Linked DNA regions of Cricetulus griseus. The protein of the gene in region 5 interacts with the protein of the main gene of each other region in a pairwise test. Links are inferred from orthologs where the notes say so. Each region holds a gene or a part of one and is shown on either strand. Other genes may lie near its edges. The genes, in order: Golga2, Eloa, Htt, Ccndbp1 and Cul5.

What was found.
Region 1: the proteins of Cul5 (region 5) and Golga2 interact in binary tests that used the Homo sapiens proteins (3 or more experiments, as listed by UniProt). The two-hybrid records come from large-scale screens. The link is inferred for Cricetulus griseus from reciprocal best matches to the Homo sapiens genes CUL5 and GOLGA2.
Region 2: the proteins of Cul5 (region 5) and Eloa come close enough for resonance energy transfer, tested with the Homo sapiens proteins (3 studies listed by BioGRID). The link is inferred for Cricetulus griseus from reciprocal best matches to the Homo sapiens genes CUL5 and ELOA.
Region 3: the proteins of Cul5 (region 5) and Htt interact in binary tests that used the Homo sapiens proteins (3 or more experiments, as listed by UniProt). The link is inferred for Cricetulus griseus from reciprocal best matches to the Homo sapiens genes CUL5 and HTT.
Region 4: the proteins of Cul5 (region 5) and Ccndbp1 interact in binary tests that used the Homo sapiens proteins (3 or more experiments, as listed by UniProt). The two-hybrid records come from large-scale screens. The link is inferred for Cricetulus griseus from reciprocal best matches to the Homo sapiens genes CUL5 and CCNDBP1.

The regions. Positions count from the first base shown.
Region 1 is NC_048599.1:144,032,359-144,035,871, reverse strand, and holds part of Golga2 (golgin subfamily A member 2), read right to left. Parts: intron 2,728-3,513; coding exon 2,689-2,727; intron 2,462-2,688; coding exon 2,399-2,461; intron 2,315-2,398; coding exon 2,221-2,314; intron 2,129-2,220; coding exon 2,022-2,128; intron 1-2,021. UniProt on the Homo sapiens protein: Peripheral membrane component of the cis-Golgi stack that acts as a membrane skeleton that maintains the structure of the Golgi apparatus, and as a vesicle thether that facilitates vesicle fusion to the Golgi membrane.
Region 2 is NC_048595.1:17,291,672-17,295,682, reverse strand, and holds the start of Eloa (elongin-A), read right to left. Parts: upstream 2,812-4,011; 5' UTR 2,797-2,811; coding exon 2,539-2,796; intron 1-2,538. UniProt on the Homo sapiens protein: SIII, also known as elongin, is a general transcription elongation factor that increases the RNA polymerase II transcription elongation past template-encoded arresting sites.
Region 3 is NW_023276807.1:103,856,175-103,859,687, forward strand, and holds part of Htt (huntingtin), read left to right. Parts: intron 1-234; coding exon 235-414; intron 415-524; coding exon 525-701; intron 702-937; coding exon 938-1,014; intron 1,015-2,268; coding exon 2,269-2,407; intron 2,408-3,233; coding exon 3,234-3,356; intron 3,357-3,513.
Region 4 is NC_048599.1:57,429,855-57,433,895, reverse strand, and holds the start of Ccndbp1 (cyclin-D1-binding protein 1), read left to right. Parts: upstream 1-1,230; 5' UTR 1,231-1,318; coding exon 1,319-1,418; intron 1,419-1,546; coding exon 1,547-1,606; intron 1,607-1,850; coding exon 1,851-1,930; intron 1,931-4,041. UniProt on the Homo sapiens protein: May negatively regulate cell cycle progression. May act at least in part via inhibition of the cyclin-D1/CDK4 complex, thereby preventing phosphorylation of RB1 and blocking E2F-dependent transcription.
Region 5 is NC_048597.1:165,392,448-165,396,710, reverse strand, and holds the start of Cul5 (cullin-5), read left to right. Parts: upstream 1-1,459; 5' UTR 1,460-1,935; coding exon 1,936-1,959; intron 1,960-4,263. UniProt on the Homo sapiens protein: Core component of multiple cullin-5-RING E3 ubiquitin-protein ligase complexes (ECS complexes, also named CRL5 complexes), which mediate the ubiquitination and subsequent proteasomal degradation of target proteins.

The DNA.
Region 1 (3,513 bases), on a different chromosome or scaffold from region 5:
TGGATAGTTGTGAGCCACCATGTGGGTAACTGGGAATCAAACCTGAATCCTCTGGAAGAGCAGCCTGTGCTCTGAACTGCTAAGCCATCTCTCCAGCCCTGTTTTTGTTTTTAATTAATAATATTTTTTTTACAAAGCTGGGAACCAAACTCAAGTTCTTGTATAGGCTAATCAGTTACTCTATCACTGACCAATCATACACTAGCTCTCTTTCATTTTTTCTCCTGAAGCAGGGTCTAAGCAACCAGGCAAGCCTAGAATCTATACTATAGCCCAAGCTAGCCTTGAACCCTCCTGTCTCGGCCTCCCCATGCTGAGATCACAGCTATGTGTCACCTTCCCAGCAATTATTTTGGTTTTATGAGACAGTCTCAGGCAGACGGGGCTGGCCTTTCTCTTTCAAGTGCTAGAATTACAGGGATGTGTCACTCCATCTGGCTCACTCTTTATTAAAAAAGAATTATTTAAATTTTTTATTTTTTGAGACAGGATCCTCTCTATATAGCCCTGGTTGTGGTGGAACTCACTATGTAGACCAGGCTGCCTCCTGAGTGCTTCGAAAACACCCAACCCCCCAACACACACTCCTTTTGTTTTGTTTAATAAGAACTCCTGAACCAGGCTGTGGTGGGACAACCCTTTAATTCCAGCACTTGGGAGGCAGAGGTAGGCAGATCTCTCTGAGTTCCAAGCTATTCAGGACTACAAAACAACAACAAAAAAGGAAAAACTCAGTAAAAGGGCCAGGTGTTCTTCCAGAAGACCTGGGTTTGGTTTCCAGCACCAACATGGTGAATCCAGTTCCAGGGGATCCAAGTGCCCTCTGCAGGCGCCAGTGATGCTTGAGGTGCATATACATGAAGTCAAGCAACACACACACACAAAATAAAAGAGATTAAGAGCACTGGCTGCTCTTTCAGAGGTCCTGAGTTCAATTCCCAACAACCACATGGTGGCTCATAACCATCTATGAGATCTGGTGCCCTCTGCTGGTGAGTAGGCAGAATACTGTATACATAATAAATAAATCTTTTTTTTTTTTTAAAAAGTAAATAAACCTTAACAATATAAATAAAAGAACTGTACCAAGTGATGGTGGTGGTGGTGGTGGTGCACACCTTTAATCCCAGTACTCAGGAGGCAGAGGCAGGCAGATCTCAGAGAGAGTGTTCCAGGAAAGCCAGGGTGACACAGAAAAACCTGTCTTGAAAAATAAAAAAAAAAGAAACAAACAAACAAAGAACTCCATAAGCACAAAGCAGGCAGGAAAAAAGACTGGGACCAGGACATGGTGGTTTAGACTGATCTTAGCACGTGGAGGCTGAGGCATTTACAGCACTGAGCACTTCACTGCTAACCTATCCAATCTTCACACCCATTGACAACAGTTGCTGTCACCCCCACTGGGCAGAAACACAGTGTACAAAAGTGCTGGCTTGAAGTCACTTAGCAGAGATGGAACTTGAGCATTTTGGGGTATCTAAATCTCTAGGCCCTTTCCCCCAGAGTTGCAATTAAGAGGAAGAAAGTTAATTTCTATTTGGATCTTGTGCTCTCTTCTGAACAGATGGTCTATTCACACAATCCAAAACTCAGAGGGTATAGAAGCAAAATGCCTCCCGATTGTCATCCTGTTCCCAGCTCCGAGTTTGTCAGTCATCTCAAACATACTCTACATGTATTGTACACACACTACCCTACCCACAGTGGCACAGTGATAAGCTCTTCTGTACTTCCACAGCCCAGGGGCTATATCCCCTCTATCAGCACTTGGCCAAGGTTACAGCCAGCTGAGGTCATAGCCTGCTTCTAGGTTTTGCATCCAGAGCTCACTTGTGCAGCCCTCAGTTACCCAGCTGTGGACTCTTCCCCAGTTTGCTTCTTCCAACCTCACAACAAAAGCAGCAACAAACAGCTCATGCTAAATTGTCAGCAGCAAGGCACTAGACCATGCAGAAAAGTCCTGTAAGCTCACTGTCTACCAGGAAGCTGCTGATGGCCAGACAGGCAACTTGTCCTACCTTGTCCGCCTGTTTCTGTTGCGTTGACACAGTAGACAGCGTCCGCTCTAGCTCTCCCACACGCTGTCGGGAAGACTGCAGGCGGCTGGCAAGATCCTCTGACTCTCCTGAAATGAGAGCCGTCTACATGGAGCCCCAGGGACCCTCCCTCAGGCCTGCCAAGGCGTCAGCACAAGGCTGAAGAATGCTCTGATCCTACCTGCTTTCTGCCTGGCTGCTTGCTGTGTGTGAGCCAGGGCTGTCTGTAATTCTGCCTTCTCAGACACCAGGATGCCTATGGTCTGAATGTGAACCTTTGGAAGAAAAGCCCCCAAAAGTGCTGAGAGGAAGGAGAGATGCTCTCTGGGGGACATAGGGATATCACACAGGCCACTCACCTGCAGTTGTTCCCTGAGAGCTCCCTGCTCCTTTGCCAGCTTCTGCTGATAATCCCTCTTCTCCTGCAGGCATGGGAAATGCAGTTCTTAGCAGGGAAGCAGAATCCCAGCAATGGACGAGCCCCAGAAAGCCACCAGTGGCCCAGGACAGGTTATCAAGGATCCTATGGAGGACACCCTGTGGGGTGAGTCTTCTCCAGGATAGAATCAAGCAAGACCAAAATCTGCAACTCTGAGGCCTCCCACAACCCCATCAGCCATGAAAAGAGCAAACACAGAAACCACAGTACTTTTTCCAGTTGATCCAGAGTGTCTTGGTTCTGTTGTTTCTGTGGGAAGAGTCAAAGGAAGGTGACTGGGGCTAGCCCCTTTTATGCTACCCCATACCAAGACAGAGCAGGGGGATGGATTTGAAAAAGGTGCTCAGACCCCCATGGGCACATGAACCAACAAACTTCCCAAGCTCCCAACAAACTACAGTCTGTGTCTTGGCTGCCTCTCATTCACAACTATACAACAGAGGTTTAAATCTGGGTCCAAGTTAAAGGACAGTAACACTAGAAACGAGTTTGAGAAAGAAGACTACCTTCTGCCAACTTGGGGACTTGGAACAGTGTGCTGAATTAAGAACTGACTGTATCTTGCATAGCCAAGAGAGGAATGGGAGAGCACTTGGTTCTGACAATTCAGTAAGCCTTTAAACTCTTGCTACTTAAGAGTGGAAAGAGGTCTCTGACACTCTCCAACTCTGCCTCAACAGGAAACTCAAACCCAGGGAATGGTGTAACCAAAATCAAAGAGCAAATCAGGACCTAAGCCAGGGCAGGACATGGGGCTCCTGACAACCAATCGGGTTTGTGATCTCTTCCACTGGAGGCACCAAGCTCAGGACAAGTGGGGTGAGGACTCAGGCTAGGAGTCTGGAGTACAGAAAAGAGGTGGAGAGCAACGAGAAGAGCCATGCTGCATGCTCTATGCTCTGGCTGCCTCCAGCTGAGACTGAGGCCCCCAGGTTTCCCATTGCCCCTAGGTCCCAGGAGCCCCCAGTCTCTCTCTTCAGAGCCCCAAGGGGAAACTGAAGCCCAGGACTGGCAGCAAGAATTGGGGACCCCACT
Region 2 (4,011 bases), on a different chromosome or scaffold from region 5:
AAGCCAATTAACATCTCCTGAAAGTGAAATCTGGCATTATTAGAAGGAGTTAAAATGGGTGGTTCTTCTCCAATGTGAATCCCTAGAAGGAAGACATTTACATAGCATCTACTGTGTGCCAGTATCATGCTAAGTTTGTCTCATTTGACCTTGTCTAGTGGGTATTATTCTATTTTACCCATATTGAAACTGGTTCCACAGCTTAACAAGCCAAGAAAACACCTAACATTAAAAAAAGGAACATGGGGACCAGAGAGATGGCTCAGGGGTTAAAACCACTGACTGCTCTTTCAGAGGACCCAGGTTCAATTCCCAGCACCCACATGGGCGCTCATAACTGTATGTAACTCCAGTTCCAGGGGACCTGATGCTCTTACACAGACATGCATGCAGGCCAGACCTTGGCTGAATGTAGAATGAATACATAGCATATTTACATTTAAAGCACCAAAGCCCAATAGCAGAAGTCCCAGAGACAGGTGTGAAATCAGCCTTTTGGCTAATAATGGTCTGGAAGCAAGATCTGGTTGCAAATTCAATACTGCTCTATAATCATCTTGCCATTTCAAGAACCTGTGAGAGCTTGCTGTGTTAAGAGGAGGTTGGAAAGCCAGTATGCCAGCTTGCAATTTTCCCTCTGCAGTCAGCTTGTTTCTGAATGTCAACTATCTGGCCCTTTGGAAAGGGGTCTCACCGTTCTCCTAACATTGCTCACCTCACACCACCACCCCAATGGGCACAGAACCCAGGAGCCCATATAGCTGCTACTGAACTGCATCCCAGCCCCAAGGTAATTTTCTATCTAGGAAAAGAAAAGCCAAATAGGGCTTTCAGTGGTAGAGTGATTGCCTACTGGTGTTAGCACATGAGTCCCTGGGTTCAAGCACCAGCACCACAGAACCACCACCAACCAAAACAACAAAAACACCACAACACCCTCTGAAAAAAATGACTAGTGGTTCAAGAAAACCTCCATAAGGCCGGGCGTTGGTGGCACACGCCTTTAATCCCAGCACTTGGGAGGCAGAGGCAGGCGGATCTCTGTGAGTTCGAGACCAGCCTGGTCTACAAGAGCTAGTTCCAGGTCTGTCTCCAAAGCCACAGAGAAACTCTGTCTCGAAAAACCAGGAAAAAAAAAAAAAAAAAGAAAGAAAAAAAGAAAAAAGAAAAACTACATAAACTTTTCCTAACTCAACATTTCATGCACAACTAGACAGGCCATTTCAAAATCTAAATTCTAACAGGGAAAAAAATCCTACAGATAGTATATGGAGAACTTTTTATCTTAATCTAATGGGACAGAATGACCAAATGAGGGTGTTACTTTAAGGTCAGTCGCAAATCTTAAAGTGTACTGGTACTTGAAATTAATGACCATTTATTAGATGCCCACAAAGGGTTATTGTAAATGACTGACGGAGGGTACCAAAGCCTCCATGGAAAGTAAAACACAAGACAACTGGAAACACTTAAGTTTTCACTGATTTAGAACACAGCTTTCTGAAGAAACGTATCTGCGAACAGAATGAGGTTGTTAAAAAGTGGCCTGGGGATGAGAGGGAGCGTGAAACCTTCAAAAATGACTCCGTGACTCGCTAGGAACTCTGAGTAAATGGGGTCCTGGGCTGGAAATTCTGAAAGATGGCGATTATACACTTACAGAGCACTTGGGTCCAGCTGGCATTTCAGGAAGAAACTAGTGGCAGGCTGAGCAAAGACCTACCCCAAAGTCCAGAGCTGGTGCTGGATGGGAACCTAGAGTGCACTTGGAAGTCAGTGCGCTGCCTCCCTCCCTCCACTACTTCCTCTTCCACTCAGCTCGCCGCCGCCGGAGACTTCTTCACCTTTTAGGAACCGCGGGCCCAGGCTAGAGCGCTGACAAGCAACGTCACACCCTTCGGTATTTTCACCCAGAGACTTCAATGGACACTATTCTAACTTCCATCACTATCCTGGACCACTGAGAAGCCGGGTCACCGGGAGACGAGGAGGGGGAACAACGTGTTTAAGGTAACAGTTTCTAACAGAAGCAACAAAGTAGTTAAGTGCAATTAAACATGGTTCCTCGTCGCCGGCGGCTCCCACCTTCCCTAAGTCAGAGACGTGTCATAAATACTCTCTCGCCCTCGCCCAAGACCCGCGCTCCAGGAGCAGGGATCGAAAACCCGAGGCTTCCCCCGTTTGCCCGGTTAAAGGGCAGAGGGGAGCGCGGGGTCCTCGCGACGGGGAGCGGCCGAGCCACGGACATCAACCCGCCGGACGGCCGCTCGGCGGGGCCGGCGAAGCAGCTGGCGCGGCCGCCCGAGCCCGGGGAAAGCGGGAAGGCCCGGCCGGCAGCCGCCCGGCCCCGCTCCAGTCCTCGGCACCCAGCCCGGAGCGCCCGCCGGCTGCGAACTCCGAACTCCTCGCTGCCCCGCGCCGCTCCGCGGGGCCTGGCTCCGGGTCTGAGGAGGACCCGGCCGCACCCGGCCCGCGACCGTTACCGGGCCCGCGCCGAGCCCAACGCCCGCCCGCGCCTCCCGCCCGCCGGCCGCTCACCTTCTTAGGATCGGGGTTCGCGGCCAGGCGCGCCTGCAGCTTCTCCACAACTTGGAGCGCCGACTCCGCCGCCATCGCTGTCACTGGCGCGGCCTCCTCGCCGGAACTGGGCTCGCGTTGCGTCCTCGGGCCGCAACTCCGCCCTCTGTGCGGCCCCGGCGGAGACGGAAGCGCGAATGGTCCCTTCCGGGCCTCCGCTGGGGGGCGTGTGGGGACGGCCTCAGGACCTGCCCCCGCGCCAGACCACGCCCACAACATCTCCGCGATCCGCCCTGCTCCGACACCGGCAGCAGGCCACGCCCCCGACACACCCAGCCCAGAGCCACGCCTCCGGACACGCCCCCTGGCCTTGTGTCCCGGCAGAGGCGCTGAAATCCGCTAGCCAAATTCGGGCTCACTCTGTCCCGTTCCGCGAGCCACACCCTCATCTACACCTGACGGTGGTGTCAGTGCTTGGGTCCAGGGTCCCACAGAGACCCCAGGGGCCATCCTGGGACCCTTGGAGTGAAAGGAAAGAGCTGACTCCTGTAAATTATTTGATATCCACCTAAAAGCTGTGGCACACCCATACAACAAGAAATCGTGTAATTTAAAGTAACTTAACAGTATTGTAATTTTGGTAAAGAGCAATCCAGATTGCTCTGTGTCTGCTTCCAAGGCAATTTGAAACACTAGAAACAAAAGTAACAACAATACATTTCCAACCATCTTGTCTTCAATTGCAGAAAGCAGTCCAGTCCTGTTTTCTAGTTCAAATGACATTCTTTTTTTTTTTTTTTTTTTTTTTTTTTTTTTTTTTTTTTTGAGACAGGGTTTCTCTGTGTAGCTTTGGAGCCTGTCCTGGCACTCGCTCTGGAGACCAGGCTGGCCTCGAACTCACAGAGATCCGCCTGCCTCTGCCTCCCAAGTGCTGGGATTAAAGGCGTGTGCCACCAACGCCCGGCTTCAAGTGACATTCTTAAGGTGAGACATACTATGCTAAGTGAGGGACACTAGTTCTAGGGGTGTCCCCGAAGGCCTCTCGTGCCCTAAGCTCCACCTCTCTCTCTCTTAGGAAGAGGCATCGCCTGAACTTGCTTGGATGATGGGAGTAAAGACCAGTGACAACCTGAGTTCTAGTTCCTGAGCCCACGATGGCTTCTGGTCATTATGGAAACCCTGACATTGTTTCCTCCTACTTACTAGATTTGTGAGACCTATGTTAAGAAACTGGCACACAGCAGTCTTGGAAAATGATGAATTAGGCACGGTGTGGTGGTTCTGGCTGTTAATCCCAACTCACTTAGGTTGAGGATTAGGTGTTTATTAAAAGCCAGCCAGGACTACATGAGACCCTATGTGAAAAAAGGAAAGAGGGGACTTATTCTGGGCGTTGGTGGTGCACGCCATTAATCCCAGAACTCAGGAGGCAGAGGCAGGCGGATCTCTGTGAGTTCAAGGCCAGCCTTGACTACAAGAGCTAGTTCCAGAATA
Region 3 (3,513 bases), on a different chromosome or scaffold from region 5:
AGCTATTTGCTAGTGTCCCTGGGAGCTGGACATTGCCATTGGGGCTTGGCTTTTACCACATGACATCAGAGGTACAAGGCTCTGTAACTAAGTTTCCTTCCTTCCTTTCTCTCATTTACTTGTGCTTAGACACTACCTTCACTGAGGCAAAGTTTGTTTATGGAATTTGTCTTTTCTTACTCTTTCTAGCCTCCTTGTCTCCTTGAAATATATCTTTTATTATATCTTTTCTAGTGTCAGAATCTTCATGACTCAGAACACTTAACATGGCTCATTGTGAATCACATTCAAGATCTGATCAGCCTGTCTCATGAGCCTCCAGTACAAGACTTTATTAGTGCCATTCATCGTAATTCTGCAGCTAGTGGCCTTTTCATCCAGGCAATCCAGTCTCGTTGTGAAAATCTTTCAGCTGTAAGTCTTTAGCCTGCTAGTTTGCTTTCTCTGCCTTAAAAATGAATACTGGAATTTTGTCAGTACCATTACCATTCTGAGAAAAAAATTCTTGTTCCTTTCAACATTAGCCAACCACTCTGAAGAAAACACTTCAGTGCTTAGAAGGCATCCATCTCAGCCAGTCTGGTGCTGTGCTTACACTATATGTGGACAGGCTCCTGGGAACTCCCTTCCGTGCGTTGGCTCGCATGGTCGACACTCTGGCCTGTCGCCGGGTAGAAATGCTTTTGGCTGCAAATTTACAGGTACTGAAAGATGGTGATTTATATAAAAACTTAGCAAGTCAATCAAAACATTTAGTCTATCACCTGCAATTGATTGGCTACTGATAGTAGCATGTATGCCATGTTTGTTGTTCATATGTCTGACCAACTGCTTCTAGTCTGCTCTTAATAGATGTACTGTGCATAGCAGTTTATCTTTTTAAAATGGATGTGAGGTTATATGTCATGAAATCCCTAATGTGTTCTTGTCTGTGTAGAGTAGCATGGCCCAGTTGCCAGTGGAGGAACTGAACAGAATCCAGGAGCACCTCCAGAATAGTGGGCTTGCCCAAAGGTAAGGCTGCAGCATGGGATACTGGCTTTTTAAATTAAAAACAATTGTATTTTATATACCAATCCCAGTTCCTTCTCCCTCCTGTTCTCTGATGCCCCCCCACCAAGCCCTCATCCCACCCCCCCCATCCATTCCCCAGGGAGGGTGAAGCCTCCCATAAGGGTTCATCAAAGTCTGTCACATCATTTGGGGCAGGGCCTAGGTCCTCCCCCATGTATCTAGGCTGAGATAGAATTCCTCCATAGGGAATGGGCTCCCAATAGGGATAAATACTGGTTCTACTGCCAGAGGCCCCATAGACTGCCAGGCCTCCCACACTACCTGACTCCTAGCATGTGCACATCATATTTATGTCTTGTTAAGTGCCATCTCTTCATAGCTATTTGTTTGCATAACTGTTTGAAAATCTTTTAGAAGCCTTTATTAGAAACATTTCCATCTGTAATATGAGCATAGTTCCTTGTCTACAAGGTAAATTAAGAAAACCCTTCATCTCATCTCTTCCACTGCAAATGGGAGTGGGGACCACACATATGTACATCGGAGAGGACGATTCTGTCATGATTTTAGTCTTCAGAGGGTTTTTATGGTGGTGTTTCTTAATGAGATAGAGGATAGCCTGGATGGTTTTTCAGTCTTCGGAGCCACATGATGTTGTCATTTGACATATGAAGTATCATGTTGGCTTCAGATGGCAAGAGAGCAAATTATCATTGTTTGATTATAGATGTAGTCATAGACCAAGATGAGGAAGATTATAACAATAATACTTTAGACCAAATGAAATGATTCTTTGGTGGAATGTCATTATGGGGAATTAATAGAGTTTGTACACTTGGATCTTAGAAGAATTTTTCTATTTTGCATATATTACATTGGCTAAGGATGTGTAGCTCAGTAGTAGAGCACTAGTCTAGCATGCACAAGTCCCTGGGCTCAATCCCCAGTACCTTCAAGAAAAAAATAGAATAGTTTTTTTAGCTGTTATGTAGTGCATTGCCTAATGGAATGTTGAGCATAAATGAAGTTTCTGGAAAATATCAACCAGGTATCAATTGTGGTAATTTAAAGTAACTGGGGCCTAAATATGCATCATTACTATAGAATGTTGAAGGGAAAGTTCAAAACATGTTGCATCTGGTTTTAAGAAGCTACTTTCGTTCATTGATGTTACATGTTTCTAGGATCCATCTTTACAAAACTGAGATTTCAAACTAAAGGACAAACTGATCTGTGGTTTCATTTGTATTTCAGACACCAAAGGCTCTATTCCCTGCTGGACAGGTTCCGACTCTCTACTGTGCAGGACTCACTTAGCCCTTTGCCCCCAGTCACTTCCCACCCACTGGATGGGGATGGGCACACATCTCTGGAAACAGTGAGTCCAGACAAAGTAAGTATCCTGTATAGCTAAGTGTGATTACCAGGGACCACGTGGAGACAATGACAGCCTCTGTCTAGAATGAGGGTAAGGGTAGGTGTGAGTACACACAAGGCCCCTGACACTCAGCTCAGGTTATTAGCAACTCGGCTTGGGGATTAGAGTGTAATATGGAGTCCCTGAGGTCCTAATGAGAAAAGGAGTGATGATGGGTAACTCTTGTGGAGGAGTGTGGAGTCAGGGTCAGGTGGCTAGTGGTTAAGTCAAAAGAATTTGGTTCTGGGCCAGGGGCTATGACTGCAAACATTGTTCTAGCACATGCTGACAAGCCAGCCTGCCTCCCTCTCCCTGAACCTTGTACTTCCTATGAAGTGTTGCACCTACTGCCACCCAGTATAATGTATTGTCCCCTTCACCATTCATACGTGAGAGTTGGAGGCTGTTAGGGCTTTGGGGGAGAGGAGATGTGATTTTAGAAACCTACAGCTCATGGAAGAAAGCATACATTTGCCCCAGGCTTGCTCTGACTGCTGAGGAAGATGAGGGAGACACACATTCCAGTAGAGTGAACATGAAGCATTATCTAAGTAGCAGGTAGAGGAAAGGTTGCTAACCCTCAGAACTTTGCTGAGTTTGCAAGGACTGCTAGATGTTCCACAGGTGGAAAAGAAGAGGACATTCAGGCACAGGACAGCAGAGAGAAGACTTGTGAGTTGTATGCCCAGGGTGTGTCTGATGTCTGTACAGCCAGCCAGAGTCACAGTGCTATATCACAGCCCAGAGGAGCAGCCAAAGTGCCTATTCAGTCACATTGACCTTTTCTTTTTCTTCTTCCCAGGACTGGTACCTCCAGCTTGTAAGATCCCAGTGTTGGACCAAATCAGATTCTGCACTGCTGGAAGGTGCAGAGTTGGTGAATCGCATCCCTGCTGAAGACATGAATGACTTCATGATGAGCACGGTAGAGCAGCAATCGGGGGGGGGGGGGGGGCAGGGAATCCCCAGCTCTGCTTGTCTTTCTGAGTTATACTTGTGCCTTAGTTAGAGTTTCTGTTGCTATGGTGAAAAACCATGACCAAAAAGCAAGTTGGGGAAGAAAGGGCTTGGCTTCTTACTTC
Region 4 (4,041 bases), on a different chromosome or scaffold from region 5:
CAGAGTGCCATTTTATGCCTAGGGAACCTGTGGAGACTTGGGCTGGACCTTGACCACTCTAGAAACATTACTTCCCAGCCTGTTTTCCCACGGATTATGGGTTTTCTGCTTCCTTAGTTGGGGCCGTTTTTAACTAATCAAATAAATGAATGAATGATAAATATCACGAATGTTGGGCTGGAAAAATAGCATGGTAGTTAAGAGCATGTACTTCACGCTGGGCAGTGGTGGCACACACGTTTAGTCCCAGCACTTGGGAGGCAGAGGCAGGAGGATCTCTGTGAGTTCGACACCCGCCTGGTCTACAAGAGCTAGTTCCACAACAGCCTCCAAAGCCACAGAGAAACCCTGCCTCGAAAAACTAAAAAAAAAAACAAAAAAAAACAAAAAAAAAAACATGTACTTCCTGAGTTCAATTTCCAGCAACTATGTCAGGTGGCTCCAGGTTAGAGCCTCTGTGGGTCCTTTGCATTCATGTGTGCACAGACTTATACATAGCATAATAGAATATAAATATTAAAAGAAAGATCGGGGCTGGAGAGATGATTCACTGATTAAGAGCATTGGCTGCTCTCCCAGAGGACCCTGGTTCAATATCCAGCACCCACATGGCAGCTTTCTATAACTCCAGTTCTAGGGAATCTGACACCCTCACACAGACATACATTCAGACAAAACACCAATGCATATAAAAATTTTTTAAAAAACTAAAAAGAAATACCACACGGATCTGTACTGTAGCTAAACATTGGAACCATGGTGTCTGGGGCTTGGAGAAAGAGTCACAACGGGGATGTCACAGGCAGACTTGCCAGCAAAAAACTCAAGACACATAAAATGGCAAAAAAAAAAAAAAAAAAAAAGTGGTCAGGTCTCTAGTAGGTCAGAGAACGCATGGCTGGGTCTTTAGAAGGCGTGGCAGGTGTGGCAGGGTGTCAAGGTGGGGTGGGGGAGAGGGGCAGGGCCGGGCGCCTGGACCCGAGTCCCAGTCTGTAGGCCTGCTGGGAACCGGCAGCCTGGTGAAGGAGGAGTGTCTGAGTCTCTAGGCCCCGCAGGGGAGCTGTGGGCGGGTCTCTAGGAAAGGGAGGCGTGGCCTGATCTCTAAGTGGATCGGGCAAGAGTAGGCGGGTCTGTAGGCGGAGGGAGGCGTGGCCTGACGGCCTGGCTGTCCGGGAAGGCGGGGTCGCGTCACTGAGGAGGAAGGGGCGGGGCGTGATGTGTCTTGCCGGAAGCGAGAGGTGTTTTCGGCACCGGAAATACAGCGGCAGGGGCCGAACGGCTTAAGCGTCCTAGCTAAGGTACGCTGTGAGACGCTGTGATGGCGAGTTCGGCAGCCGCAGCCTCCTTCCTTGCTCCGACTCTGGAGCAGCTCCGGCACCTGGCAGCGGAGCTGCGGTCACTTCTGCCTCTAGTGAGGGGTGAGTTGTGGGAATCTGAGGCCCGGGGCTCCGGGTAGGGCGGCGGTCGGGCGTCACGTCAGGTGACGTGTCTTTTGCTCACCTGTCTTTTGCTTTGGTGGTCCGGCCTCCCACGCTACACCCTCAAGTCGGCGAAGCCCAGGAGACAGCCGAGGAATTTAATCGAGAGATGTTCTGGAGAAGACTTAGTGAGTTTCTCTGCCGTTGCAGACTCTTCCCTCCTCACTCCTGCCTCCTAACCTCTTTCCCCTCTGTTGTCCCAAGAGGAGGTGACAATCCCTCCCGGCCTCGGGACGATTTCTGGAGTTGTTTTGGAGTTGTTTATGATGATAAGGGTGGAGAAGGGATGCGTTATCTTAAAAAATCCGTGTAGTGGTTGCAGCTTCCACCTTTAACACTAACTTTGGTATCCGCCGCCTCTACCACCCCCAGATGAGGCAGCAGTGAACCTGTCAGGGGAAGCCACGATTCTGACCACACTTTTCTCCCGACTTCCACTGCCGTCTCCACGGGTGAGCTTTACTTCCTGGGATTTGTGTGCTGCCTCTAGTTTTCTTGTCACCCTTTACCCTCAAGCCACGTTTATTTTCTTCATTTATTTAATGAGATTATAGTTCTTACCGCATAGGATTGTTGTGAGGACCAAATAGCCAAGTGCAAACGGTAGAAAGGTCTTTCAAATTCAGTCAGGTTAGTTCCTCGGAATTTTAAAAGCTCTTTTTGATTTATAGCTGTTTCTCATACATACTCCCCATCTGACAGATGAGCTAGTAAGTTTAGAGACTTGGATCAAGATTAATAAATGGTGGAGGTGGAGTTAAAAGCCTACAAAGTATCTAAGCAACAGCTATTGCACAATACCCTTTAGTATTAAACTGTTTACCTTTTTATTTAATTACTAATATGTGGATAAAGTTCAAAAGATACCAGAGTACACTAAAATACATGTATATATCTTCCCACCCCAGTTTATCTTTCTATTTCGTTCCCATTTCCTTCTGTATTACTCCATACAATTTGTTCTATGTATATATACATCGCTCTGTGTGTGCTTCTTTTTACACAGTGGTTAGATACTATAAGCATTGTTCTAGACCTTTTAAAAAGTAATATAGCTTAGAAGTTGACTTTTTTTTTTTTTTTTTTTTTTTTTTTTTGGTTTTTCGAGACAGGGTTTCTCTGTGGCTTTGGAGACTGGAACTAACTCTTGTAGACCAGGCTGGCCTCAAACTCACAGAGATCCGCCTGCCTCTGCCTCATGAGTGCTGGAGTTAAAGGCATGGGCCACCACCATCCAGCTAGAAGTTGATTCTTAATGACACATAAAAAAGTTGCTTAGTTCTTTGTAATACTTGATGTAGAGTAACTATAGCTATAAACAATAGCCCAGGTGGACATTTTAAACTGTTTCTAACTTGCAACTATTGTAAATGGCACTGTAGTGAATTGTCAGTTATAATCTTTGCATACATATATGTATTAATAGAAAAAAATTCCAGAGGTGAACTTACAGGAACAAAGAATTAATGCATTTTAAATAATCGTTTATTATGTAACCAAAAGTAAAGCTGGATATTGGCTGTGATCAACCAACATGTGAATGCCCTGTGCCATATTTTTCTAGAGCTACATGTACTTCAGAGTAGTTTATTTTTTTGTTAAATGTTTATTTCATGTCTATGAGTATTTTGCTTGCATGTATGTGCATATGAATTCTGTGCTTAGTATCTATCCATGGAGGCCAGAAGAGGGCACTGGATTCTCTGGAACTAGAGTTAAGGATGGTTGTGAGCTTCCATGTGGGTGCTGGGAACTGAATCTGGGTCCTCTATAAGAGCAGCCAATGCTCTTAACCTCTGAGCCATCTCTCCAGCCCAAAGAGTAGGTTATTTTATGACGACATAGTCGTTGCCTCAATTTTCATAGTAGTTTCAATAACTATGTATCCAGATGTTGTATTTTTGTTTATTTTTTCACTCACATATAACTATACAAATACTCTACTACTGAGCTACACATGCATGAATGTTTTCTTTTGGTTTTATTGGTTTTCTAGAGACATGGTTTCTCTGTGGAGCTCTGGCTGTTCTGGAACTCACTCTGTAGATCAGGCTGGCTTTGAACTTGGAGATCTGTCTGCCTCTGCCTCCTGAGTGCTGGTATTAAAGGTGTGCGCCACCACCTAGTATGAATGTCTTAATGTGATAGAAAGTTCCTTTTACAACATAAAATTATAAAAATACATACCCCTCTTTCCTGTACTTTTTGTTGTGTTTTTTTTTTTTTTTTTGTTTGTTTGTTTTTCCAGACAGGGTTTCTCTGTGTAGCTTTGGAACCTATCCTGGCACTTGCTCTGTAGACCAGGCTGGCCTCGAACTCACAGAGATCCACCTGCCTCTGCCTCCCTAGTGCTGGGATTAAAGGCATGAGCCACCGACGCCTGGCTCTTTTTGGTTTTTTGAGATAGGGTTTCTTTGTGTAGCTCTGGCCATCCTGGAACTAGCTGTATAGACCGGACTGGTCTAGATCTCAGAGATCCATCTGCCTCTGCCTCTGCCTCTGCCTCTGCCTCCTGAGTGCTGGTACTGGGATTAAAGGTGTGTGCCACTACTGCCTGTCCCCT
Region 5 (4,263 bases):
ACCATCAGTGAGAACTTTCATTTTAAAGTATTCCAGATGGTACATTTTATAAATGACTTATTGCCCCACAAATGCTAGGCAAGCTCTTAGACACACACACTCACACACACACACACACACACTCTCTCTTTCCCCCTGACTCGCCCCACTCCCAGATGATTTAGAATTCATCTTTGTAGCAGAAGGGCATCGAACCTGCAATCCTCCTGCCTTAGCCTCCTGTAAGCTTACAGGTCTTACCCACCAGGCCTGGCAAATATGTAATTTAAAAATATATAATATATAATATATAAATTTTGCAGGGCGGCAGAGTCAGTTTGATCTCTGTGAGTTTGAGGCCAGCCTGGTCTACAAGGAAAGTTCCAGGACAGTCAGAGCTGTTACACAGTGAAACTCTGTCTCAAAAAACCAAAAATAAATAAATGAAATAAATAAATAAAATTCAAGGGTCCATGGAGCTTGCTGGCCACTAGCCTAGTTCAAGGTTCAAGTGACCTGTCTATCTTAAGGCAATGTAGCCAGGGAGCGATAGATGTCTTCATGAACACCTTTATAAAGGTACAAAAGAATGCTGTTAGTGTGGTGGTAGTGATGCTCGCCTTTGGTCCCAGCTCTCGGGAGGCAGAGGCAAGGAGAGCTCTGTGAGTTAAAGGCCAGCAAAGTCTACAGAGGAGTGCCAGGACAGGCTCCAAAGCTACACTGAGAAAACCTAGTTCTAAAAACCAAAAATAAATAAACTCACCCTAAACAAACAAAACATCCCCAACCCCCTAACCAAATGTTAGGAATTTGCATAATGCAATAACAGCCAACCTGTGAGATCCCTATATAAACTCTATTCTCTTGTTTAGAGATTCGTGATTTGAAGAGACACAGTTTGGAGAAAATAGTATAGGATGCTCTAGGTCTAGGATTTTTTTAAAAGAGTTTTTTGTTTGTTTTTAAGATTTATTACATATATACTGTTCTATCTACAAGCCAGGAGAGGGCACCAGATTGAATTGTAGATGGTTGTGAGCCACCATGCGGTTGCTGGGAATTGATCTCAGGACCTCCGGAAGAGCAGTCAGTGCTCTTAACCTCTGAGCCATCTCTCTCCAGCCCCTAGGATATGTTTGAAGGAGTCCGAGATTAATAAACACTTCTTGAACAAGCCGGGCATTTTTGAGCAGAGTGATGCTAGTTAACACGTTCGTACATCCATTTACTAAACGAGTAAATCTTGACTGGGCGCCTTTTCCCCGAGTCAGTCTTTACAGAGGACAGCAGTAAAAAAAAAAAAAAAAAAAAAAACCCTTTCCTGGCTAATCTCATCCAGAGCTGCGAATGAATCGCAGTCCCCGGATCTGGGGCGGCGAGCGGGTGGGGCGGCGCCGGCTCCAGCCAATAGGGGGCGCGCTCCGCCCTGCTCCCTGCCTCCGGACCCAGCGGCTTGCAGGCTCCTCGGTTGCTCCCAAGCACGCCCCCGCCCGCAGCGTCACGTGACGCCACCACGGAACCCAAGGAGCCGGGCCTAAGCCGAGTTAAAAGTCGTTGCCGGCGGCCGCCGCGAGTGCAACCCGAGAGGCTCACCCGGAGACGAGTGTGGCAGGCCCGGGGAGGTAGATGCTACCTTTTCCCGGTCAGGTCGGCTCCCGGTCCCTTGCCACCATTCGCCGCTCGCGTCTCCTTGAGCCTTTGCATGCGCTCTCTCGCGTGAGCAGGCCCCGGTTACCATGTAGCGGGAAAGCCTGAGGGAGCACGGGTGCCGGGTACGAGCTCAGCGCTGACGGCACGCAGCTTCGGCGTGTGTGGCCCCCCTTCCCCCTTCCGCCCCCCGCATCTCTGCCGCGGCCCGCGGGGCCCTGCTGGGAACTCCGGCCTCCCGAGGAGGCCTGGCCCCGAGCGCCGCCAATTCTCGCCGCCGCCTCTCGCGAGAGTCCAAGTTGAAGGAACATGGCGACATCTAATCTGTTAAAGGTAAGCCCCTGTCTCCAGCCGGGTTTCTGCTCGCGGCCGACGCGTTTAGTTCCTGGGTGAGCACCGGGCTCCGAGTGAGCGGCGAGATGTGAGAGTGTCTCAGGCTTGTCCACCGGAAGGGACCCGGGACGGCTGCCCCGAATACCCCGACGCCGGGCCCTGGCCTCGGGGTCCAGAGGCTTCGGTGGTTGCTCCCGCTGACTGACTGACTGACTGACTGACTGACTGACTGACTGGGAGGGATGCTTTCAAGGGACCAACCCAGGCTGCGGGCGACAGCAGTGTCGCTGGGCCCCCGGCGGGCGGCCCAGCCATTGTGACTCTTAGGGTCCGTTTCTTCCGAAGCGAGAGTCAAAGACATAATAGGAAAATTCTCGACAAAATGCTGCCTAGCAGGTTTTGACTAGGACCCCCCCCCCCCCGCTTCCTCCCCGGTTCCTTAATTTCTGTTCTCACTCTGCCTCCAGGAAATGCGAGTCAGATAGCAGTGCCTCCCACTCCGCCCCGTTTCTCCCTTTTCTGCATGTTACATCTTCCCTCCAGTTCTCTTGTTCTTGACTTCATGTTCCCATGCTTTTTGTTCCTCGAGGAACTGTCTCTCCCAAGCCTCGACTCCCCTTAGAGGACATCAGGTGACACCCGATGAAGTGCCACCGTCTTTTTAGCTGGTGGGAAAGTTTTTCTTATCAAAGAAGACATTGGGAAGTTTTTAAGTGTCAAGAAAGGCCCGGGGTTGGGGGATGGGGGGCAAATTCTGTTAAAAACTTAGGTAAGGACTGAGGAAGATATGGGGCAGGTTTGAGCTATTTGTGTTTTTAGTTAAGAGTCCTGTCCTAAAAGTATTGACTGAAATGGGGGTAGTGATTACCTGAGGGAAAATAAACACTGTATTCAGGCTCTGTGGATGAATAATAATAATGAAATAGAGAATGTGCCCTCCCCCCCCCCAAAAAAAAGCAGGGTCTCTTTAGCCCCATCTTGCCAGAATTTGCTGTATAACTCAGCAGGCCTCAAACTCACAGAACTGCCTCTGTCTGTGCTGAGATTGAAGACTTGCATCACCACCCTGGAGAGTCCTTTAAAAGGACCTAGATTCCCTGAATTTGTCTCTTGTTTTTTTCTTTGTTTGTTTTGTTTTGTTTTTTAAGACAGGATTTCTCAGGTAGCCTTGGCTGTCCTTGAACTAGCTCTGTAGAGCAGTGTGGCTTTGAACTCAGTGATCTGCTTGTCTGCCACCCTCTTCCCCAGTGATGGAATAAAAGCCATGTGCCACCACACCCATCTGAATTTCTGTCTCTTAAGAGCTTCATGGTATTGAGTTCCTTAACCTCTGCCCAAGCTTCTTCCTTCAGGAAGATGAAATTATCAGTACCATTTTTCATAGCCCTGTTGTGATCAAATGATTTACTTATGATGCTTTAAAAACAGTGATTGCACTTAATATGCAATTCACTAAAGCACTAGAACTTCTGTGCCTATTCCTATAGGAAAACCATTGGGCAGTGGCAACACACACTTTTAATCACAGCACTTGAGAGGCAGAGCAGGTGGAGGCCAGCCTGGTCTACAAAAACAAGTTCCAGGACAACCAGGGCTGTTAATACAGACAAGTTGTTACCCTGTCTTGAAAAACAGCTAACAAGAAGAAATAAACTAAAAAGAAAAAAGAAAAAAAAAAAGAAGAAAGAAAAACAGGTAAAACTGGGCCTGGGGTTGCAGGTCATTACCAATATGAAGGTCACTGAGGCAGGAGGATCATGAATTCTAGCCTAAACTAGTAGTAGTGAATTTGGAACCAGCTCAGACTACATTATATATAGACTAATTCACAGAAATGATATTACTGACTCTACTCTGCTTTGTTTTTCATAATACTGTAGCAAAATTCTTTTTAACATTTCATTTGTTTGTTTGTTTTTTGTTTTTGTTTTTTCGGGACAGGGTTTCTCTGTAGCTTTGGAGCCTGTCCTGGAATTCACTCTGTAGACCAGGCTGGCCTTGGCTGTCTGCCTCCCGAGTGCTGGGATTAAAGCCACCACTGCTCAGCTTAATCCCAACAACATTCTTAAAGTAGAGGCAGGCTTGATGTCTGAATTCCAGGCCAGCCAGGGCTATTGTCAGATCCTGTCTTTAAAACAAAAAAGAAAAAATAAATAAAAGATAAGAGTCTGAAGTCAGATGTCAAACACACTGCAGAGTTTTTGATGACCTTGTCTTGTGAAATAATAACCATGGGAAAAAGCAAATTTTGGAAATGAATATTATTTAGTATGTGATTTATTTTTTATTTCTTTATAGTTCTGG